Neurospora crassa OR74A: one gene and its partner. The protein of the gene in region 1 purifies or fractionates together with the protein of each later gene. This does not show direct contact. Links are inferred from orthologs where the notes say so. Each region holds a gene or a part of one and is shown in the gene's direction. Other genes may lie near its edges.

Region 1 (4,151 bases):
CTTTCGTTGGCTGTTTGTACTGTCGTGAACATGCTGTCCAAATCGCCGGCGCGGGCACATGTCTCGAGGACAGCGTTAAGATGAATTGTGGTTGGCTTCACGCGCTCATTCCTGAGCAAGCTGTGGTAGATCTTGACGGCTTCTGCAACTGCCTGCTTGGGGTGCTCGCTCATGGCGCAGCCTCGGAAGATGATGGTGTAAGTCCTGGCATCTGGAACCTGGGCGCGCTTCTTCATCTCGTTGTAGATCTTGATGGCGGCAGACAGACGCTTGTTCTTCATGTGGTAGTCGATCAGATGGTTCCACGAGACTTGGACCTTTGCGTTCTTGCTGGCCTTGCGGGTGAGAACAAGGGCCTCTTCATATTTTCCTTTGTCAAGGGTCAACTTGACCTGCTTCTCGATGTGGAAGGGATCCTTGAAGTGCTTTAGTTGTAAAGCCGCACTGCGCTCCAGCTTCTTCCGCTGCTCGTCGCTCAGGTCCCTCTTCTTCCTCTTCCCTTCCGACCCGTCTCCATCTTCTTCCCCTTCCGGCGCTTCGAGATCGAGGGTAACGGAGGGATCGGCGGCAGTCTTTGGCTTGAGGGCGGGCAAGTGGTAGGATCGTATGGTGGTCGTGGACTGGCTTGGTGTAAGTGCGCCTAACCTTGGAAGGGCCAGACGAGATCCAACTGCAGGCGCATTTATCCTAGCCAAAGCTCCAGGAGCCAGGCCTTTCCGCAGACAAGCCCGGCACACAAACATGGTTTGCGGACAACCGAGTTTGCCCTTGATTGTTTTGAATCTTTTTCTTCTGCGAGGTACGGGCCGAGGTACCTGTGTTGCTAATGGTCGGTTGGTGGGGTATCTGGATCGTCGAGTTTCCTGTGACGATTTCCTGTTGTTCTAGACAACTTTGAGAATTGGGCGATGTGGTATCAAAGCTATGGCCCGGGAAGAAATCGATATTTGGTATTTTGCTGCGGCGGGCGCACAACTGCCCTGGACTCTGGACGGAGGATGATGCTGAGATGGAGACCGTGAATGATGGCCAAAAGTTAGGATGACATTCCGAAATTTTGGAGACTGATCTACAAAAATGCCTGCCGCGGCCTTTTGCACTTGTGGAGACGCGGTGGGTCGGGGGTCGGCATCAGGTACACTGACAGGGGCCCCGTTGCTGAAAGGTACGTACACTATGTACGTGGGCCACTACGTTGCTTTCCTTAGGTATCCGCTTAGGCCAAAGCAGCAGAACTGCCCCACCTCTTAAACACGACCGTGACGGGGACAAGGGTTCGCGCTTACAGTTTACAGTAAAGTACGCGACGAGTAACGAAACTAAACGCGACTTTCTTTTTGTTACTGGAGGGGACCAATTGAACCCTGTAATCCCACTATATTTCTCTTACGACTCTTGTCACCAACACTACCACATCACGGTGGCCCCGTCGACATTCTCTCCAGAGTGTTGGCCTGGTGCTCCTCTGTTGTCTCGTCACCATCCAATCTCCAATCCTAAAGGCAACATCACAACGGCCTGTCAAAATGTCCAGACGAGTAGCCAAGCGAGACAAGTACGCTGAGCTGCGCGAACTGCGCCAGTCCGGCAAGAAGAAGACCTACGACGTCGGCGAGATCGACGAGCTCTACGAAGAAGTCGACGAGAACCAGTACAAGAAAATCGTCAGAGACCGCTTGAACGAGGACGATTTCGTGGTTGACGACAATGGCGAGGGTTATGCCGACGACGGCCGCGAAGAATGGGACCGTCTCCCCCAGTACCACAGCGACAGCGAGGAGGAATTAGGCCTACCCGGCAGCAAGCCGCGCAAGTGTGAGCAGATCGAGACGCTGAAACCCGACGATGGGAGCAACTTATAAAGCACTCTGGTTCTGGTACTGACCTTCGTTCTCCTCCCTCTTAGCCAAGAAACAAAAGGAACATGAAGATGCGAAACGAGATGCCAACGACAGAGACATCACCGAATACTTCACGAAAGGCGCCGTCAAAGCCCCACCAAAACAAAAGGTCATCAAAACAGAAGAAGATGAAAAGTTCTTGGACGACCTCATCGACCAGGTCACCGCACAAATCCCCGTCCCGGTCACACGAGTATCCAAGAAGCGAGATCGATCAGTCGAGAGGAGAAAGGTCCGGGTGCTCTCCCCGGTACGGGAACCTCGGCCACCCATGGCAAAGAGAGCCAAGACAGTCGATGATCGGGCATCATCCCCAGCAGGAGACGACGACCTTCTACCAGACGACGACTACCTGCCTGCTATGGACGACGAACCTGCACCAGTCTCCGATTATCTTATGAGCGACGCCATCATGCCCTCCTCACCGGCCGCCAAAGTAGCAACACGGAGGACGTTTGGCAGGCCGGAACCCAAAAAGAATGAGGATGATGAGGACGAAGATGAGGACATGATGGAGGTTGCCCATACTGGAGCGGTAACAGCCGCCAGCGTCAACATATCAGCATCCCGTCAAATCAAAAAGATTCTCAAGACAGAGCCCGTCCCGGCCAGTTCGTCACCCGCAAGGGCACCAGCGCCAGAGGTCGACGCTGCTTCCTGGAACGAGATCAATCAGAAGCTCAATGTCGTATCCATGTCACAAAGCGAGGGCAGGAGCGTTGGCAAGATTGACTACAAGGACGCTATCGAAGAAGACGGCAGCTTGAACATGTTCTGGACAGACTACACAGAGGTCAACGGCAGTTTGTGCTTGTTTGGCAAGGTCCTAAACAAAAAGACCAAAACCTACGTCAGCTGCTTTGTCAAGGTTGACAACATTCTCCGGAAGCTTTTCTTCCTGCCGCGCAAGTACCGTGTGCGAGGTGGCGAGGAAACAACAGAAGAGGTGGAAATGATGGACGTCTACAACGAGGTTGATGAAATCATGACCAAGATGAATGTCGGCATGCACAAGATCAAGGCTTGCACCCGCAAGTACGCATTCGAGCTTCCCGACGTTCCCAAGGAGAGCCAGTATTTGAAGCTCCTCTACCCATATACCAAGCCTGCGATGGAACCCACCCACAAAGGCGAAACCTTCTCCCACGTCTTTGGTACCAATACCGCTCTGTTCGAGCAGTTTGTGCTCTGGAAGAACATCATGGGCCCCTGCTGGCTCAAGATCGAGGATGCAGACTTCACTTCCTTGAGGAATGCTTCGCACTGCAAGCTGGAGGTCCTGGTAGAACATCCCAACATGGTGTCGGTCCCGGATAACGCCGAGAGTATTGAGCCTCCTCCTTTGACGTTGTTAAGCCTGGCTATGCGCACAGCGTTCAACCCTAAGGATAATAAGCAGGAGATTCTCGCGGTTAGCGGGAGAGTCTACCTTGATGTGTCGCTCAGTGACACCACTCCCCCAGACAAGCTTGCTTCTCGTAGTTTCACCGCTGTTAGACCTTACGGTAGCGCATTTCCTATCGGCTTCGAGACGCTTGCCAAGGAAAGAAACAGAGGTGTGCTCAAGCTCTTCAAGCAGGAACACGAGATCTTGAATTTCTTGCTCGCACAGATCGATGTTGTCGATCCAGACGTTATCCTTGGCCACCAGCTAGAAGGTGTTGACTACAGCATCTTGCTGAACCGGCTGCACGAGAAAAAGACACATCAATGGTCTCGTTTGGGCAGACTCAGGCGCTCTCAGTGGCCCTCGTCCATTGTTAAGATGGGTGGCAATGTATTTGCCGAACGTCAGATAATGTCTGGCCGTCTGCTATGCGATCTTGCTAACGATGCCGGTAAATCAGTAATGACCAAGTGCCAGACCTGGTCCTTGACCGAGATGTGCAGTCTGTATCTGGGAGGCGAAAGTCGTAGGAGGGATATCGACAACGAAGTCGCCCTGAAGACGTGGGCTAACGCTGACAAACATGGTTTGATGGACTACATCTCCCACGCCGAGACTGACACTTACTTCATCGCGGCTCTTGCACTCAGGACTCAAATTCTTCCTCTTACCAAGGTTCTCACCAACCTGGCTGGTAACTCGTGGGCAAGAACACTTACCGGTACGCGTGCTGAGCGGAACGAGTACATTTTGCTTCACGAATTCCACCGCAACAAATATGTCGTCCCGGACAAGCAGACCTTCAAGGGTCGGCAACGCATCGAGGAGGAAAACGCAGAAGAGGAAGGCGGAGAAGGAGGAAA
Region 2 (4,231 bases), on another chromosome or scaffold:
TGAAGTCCGGTCCCAGACCTTGAGGTCTTCATCGCGTCCGGCCGTGATGACCCATTGATCTGTGACCGCCACAGCACGGACATGGTCGCCGTGCTCGAAAGTGTCGTCAGCAGTGAAGCCCTTGATTCTGGACAGACATTTGGCGGATCCGTCACCGCTCGCAGACCACAAGTCGGCCTCATCGCCGTCGTGATCGATGACCAGCTTATAGACGGTCGTCTCGTGCTCAAGAATGGTATGTCGCTCTGCTGCCGGGGTAGCAGGGTCAGGCTCCGCAAACTGCTCCCACCCATTTAAACGAATCTTCCAACGGCGGATGTGCGGGTCGCTGCTGGCACTGATGATACACAACTCATCCGGTGACGAAGAAGCAGGGTCGACGACCAGGTCCTGGATGCTGAGCATGTTCACCACGCTGTCCTGTAGCACATGAAGCTTGGAGCCGGTTGCAATGTCCCAAACAATGATCTTCTTGTCAGCACCACCACTGACCAGAACATCCTTTCCGCCCAGCCTTGCGCAAACGATGGCTTTGACGAAGTCCGAGTGACCAGCATATTTGCGGCCCGGAGCCTTGGTATCAATGTCCCAGGACCAGATGTTTTTGTCCCAGGCACCGGCAAAGACGGTCTTGTTGCCGGGGCCACCCACAGCTACACAACTGACGGGTGTCGTGGGACCGCGGTAGACTGTCTTTGTGTCTCCCTCACCATCGACCTGGACTCTCCGGACTGATCCGGCAGACTCGGCTACGAAGATGGCCGATGAGGGAGCACGGGGGTCAACAACGGCTCCAAGGATCTTGGACTTGAGTTTGATGGGGTTGCCATAGGTGTTCTTGGTTTTGGCTTCTCTCCTCTCTCTCTTCGCAATCTCCGCACTCCAAGATGTCAGGCTCTAGTTCATCTTGTTGACGTTAAGGGAACCCCTGGTTACTTACTCGGTCTCGAAGAAATGGCGTGGGTCTGAGGACTGCATTTTGATGCTTGAGGATGTCCAATGTTGACTTCTTCTGTTCAGCTCTGGTGAAGGCGGTGGGTGATTGAATGGTTCCTACTGTGCTCTCTTCTTGAATATAGCAACTTCTTCTGATTTGTAAGTAAGTGGCCGCCTAGAGGTAATGACGGGAGTGGATGGTGTTCCAGATGATTCGAAGTCAACAGGCAGACAATTAGAGCGATAAGTGGTGTTAGCGGCCTGTTAAGAAATGCAGCTATAGAAAGGGCCATTCTTAACAGCCAGCCCTACGGCCGCGGGAGGAGCTACCCCTATCCAACATTTGGCGGGGAAGTTCAGCGCCCAAGTGGAATGAGTGGGTCCTGAGTATACTACGCAGTACTCGCTGCCGTGGGGATGACAATGGTGGGGCACGATACCTAAGTTGCTAGCGCGTGCTGTAAATTGAAAACGCGCTCGACGCGTCTTTCCATCTTGTAACTTACACGCCGTTTACCACTTTACCTACCCTTCCTCTTTTTTCTTCCCTCTTCCCTCTTTGCGGCTGAAGAACCTGGAAGGGAATGAATGGTCCCAGGGTAAATACACTCAGCCATCTCTCAACATGACCACCCTCATCGCATCCCGACCACGGTCACGACCCGCCCATCCCCCGGGAGCAACATACTGCGCCTACACCCCCGATGGCACCAGACTGGTGACGGTCGGGTCCAACAACACCACCAGACTCTACAAGACGGGCTATGAAGGCGAGCCCACGAATATCGACGACTGCCAGGAACAGAACCTTGCCCTTGCCACCAGCAACAACTACTTTGTGGCCGGCTCCGAAGACGGTACCGTCAGCTTGTACTCCCTCGACACTAATGCCTTCGACCGTTTCCTTCTGCGAACCTCTCTCCCAGTCCGCGATGTCGCCATATCCCCAGACCACCAGTGGTGCGCTGTTGCCAGCGACGAGCTTACAGTGAGGCTGGTTGGAGTGCACGACAACACCCAGCTCCGTACCCTCAAAGAACACGGAAAGCCGACAAAACACTTGACCTTCGATCCCAAGGGCAGCTTGCTCGCGCTATCATGTACCGACGGCGTCATATACATATACTCTTTGACTGCCGAACACCCAGAGCTGATTCGCAAGGTGGATGGTGTCATTGGCAGGCTAGAGACAGAGTCCGAAGCCTCGTCAAGGGCGGTCTGGCACCCCGATGGTCGCGCCTTTGCCGCACCCACTCCTACACGAGACATTCAGGTTATTTCCAAGAACGACTGGGAAAAGCAGCGGGTCTTTAAGAGCGGTCACGACGGAGATATCACGGCCCTGTCTTGGTCGCCCAACGGTGCCCTGCTCGCCTCGGCTGGCAAGGACAAGAAGCTTCTGATCTGGTCAACGAAAGACCAGAGTGTCATCGCAAGATACGAATATCCCAATGTTACCGATATCTGCTGGCATCCCACCAAAAACCTTGCTTCATTCACAACCTCCGACGGAGAGCTTTACATTAGCCCCGACTTCGTCCCGGAGCAGTTCGCCTCTCTTCTCAGGCTACCCAAGCAGCCCGCCCCCTTTATCCACGACCCTCTCACCGAACTATCCAACAACACCCGCCGCTTAGAAGTCAGTGGTCCTAAGCCCGACGCTCGCCCACGCAGAGACTCCGTGGACGCCGATCTCGATGACCTCCTGGACGAAAACTACGGCGACGACGACGATTTCGTGGTGGACGATGACGGCGCAGGATACACCCTCAACGCGGGCCGCAAACGCCCAGCCGAAGACGATGCGATCTACGAGAGTCACACTGCCAAGCGTGGCAACTTTGTCCAACCGCAACACCATCCCTCCTTCCAACCTGGATCGACGCCATGGCGCGGCAACCGGAAATATCTCTGCTTGAACCTGATCGGCTTTGTCTGGACCGTTGACCAAGACTCTCACAATACCGTAACCGTCGAGTTTTACGACCACGAGTTCCACAGAGACTTCCACTTTACCGATACCTTCCTCTACGATAAGGCCTGCTTGAACGACAAGGGCAGCCTTTTTTCGTGCCCACCCAAAGAGGATGGCTCCCCAGCTGTGGTCTTTTACCGCCCCCATGAGACCTGGACGCAAAGAAATGATTGGCGCATACAGCTGCCCAAGGGTGAGGCGGTGCTGGCCATGTCGCTGAGTGATTCATATATTACCGTGACAACGACGGGCAACTATGTGAGGATATACACCCTTTTCGGCATTCCCGTGAGGGTGTACAGACCCAAGAGCACACCGATGGTTACGTGCGCTAGTTGGAGGGACTACGTCCTGACTATGGGGAACGGGCCTGTGGGTGCGGACGGTATGTCGCGCTTGCTGTATACCATTGAGAACATCAAGCGGGATGAAGTTTGTCAGAACGAAGACACCGTCGCCCTTCCTGAAGGCGCGACAGTGAAGAGCGTCTTCTTTTCTGACAATGGCGTACGTCTTCGTCCCTCTCTCCCTCTTCCCTTGTATCTTACCCATCCACTAACATCCGGTCCAGGACCCCTGCATTTACGACTCAACCGGCACCCTCCTCACGCTCCTTCACTGGCGCCGTCCATCCCGGGCCGTATGGGTGCCCCTCCTCGACACCCGTCTCCTCCCGCGTCTCGCCTCCGGCCGCAAAAAGGAATCCTATTTCCCCATCGCTGTCGCCGACCACAAATTTCACTGCATCATCCTCAAGGGTGGCGACCAATACCCCTACTTCCCTCGCCCCTTGCTTTCCGAATTCGACTTTGCCGTACCCCTCACCTCCGCGAAGCCCAAGAAGCAATCCAAGAAAAAGAAGACACGTAGTGGCGACGATTCTATGGACGTTGACGGTGAAGACGAGGAGGACAACGATTTCTCTGCATCAGAAGCCGACGACTCTGATTCCGAAAACAACGCCGATCCCCTAACAACCAAGGAATCCCTTCCCTTAACCCAATCCTTCCTTCTCTCATCCCTGCGCGCCGCGCAGCTCTCGGACATGCTCGAAAGCTCCCGGTCCACGGCCTCGCAGCGCGCCGCGCTGGCTAGGCTGGAGCTTGATATCGACAAGACTCTGCTGCAGCTGCTGGCGATTGAGTGCCGCGAGGGTGAGGATAGGGGGATGAGGGCACTGGAGGTGGTGAAACTTATGAAAGACAGGACGGGGCGGATGATTGAGGCGGCGGGTAAGGTCGCGGAAAGGTATGGAAGGAGAATATTAGGGGAGAAGATCAGAGAGGTGGGTGAGAGGAGGGTGGCCGGGGAGGACGAGAG

Evidence for each region. The genes of interacting proteins can lie anywhere in the genome.
Region 2: the proteins of NCU07870 (region 1) and mus-27 purify together in Schizosaccharomyces pombe (affinity purification with western blotting; 3 studies listed by BioGRID). This does not show direct contact. The link is inferred for Neurospora crassa OR74A from reciprocal best matches to the Schizosaccharomyces pombe genes pol1 and mcl1.

What each region holds. Positions count from the first base shown.
Region 1 is NC_026503.1:1,182,422-1,186,572, reverse strand, and holds the start of NCU07870 (DNA polymerase alpha catalytic subunit), read left to right. Parts: upstream 1-1,351; 5' UTR 1,352-1,526; coding exon 1,527-1,815; intron 1,816-1,906; coding exon 1,907-4,151. Other genes in the region: NCU07871 (hypothetical protein), read right to left, coding at 1-743.
Region 2 is NC_026502.1:3,504,125-3,508,355, forward strand, and holds the start of mus-27 (chromosome segregation protein), read left to right. Parts: upstream 1-1,431; 5' UTR 1,432-1,561; coding exon 1,562-3,418; intron 3,419-3,482; coding exon 3,483-4,231. Other genes in the region: NCU08485 (WD repeat protein), read right to left, coding at 1-880, 941-978. UniProt on the Schizosaccharomyces pombe protein: Has a role in regulating DNA replication complexes. Acts as a regulator of post DNA replication initiation. Associates with chromatin during G1 and S phases of mitosis. Required for the transcriptional repression of the outer repeats of the centromeric region.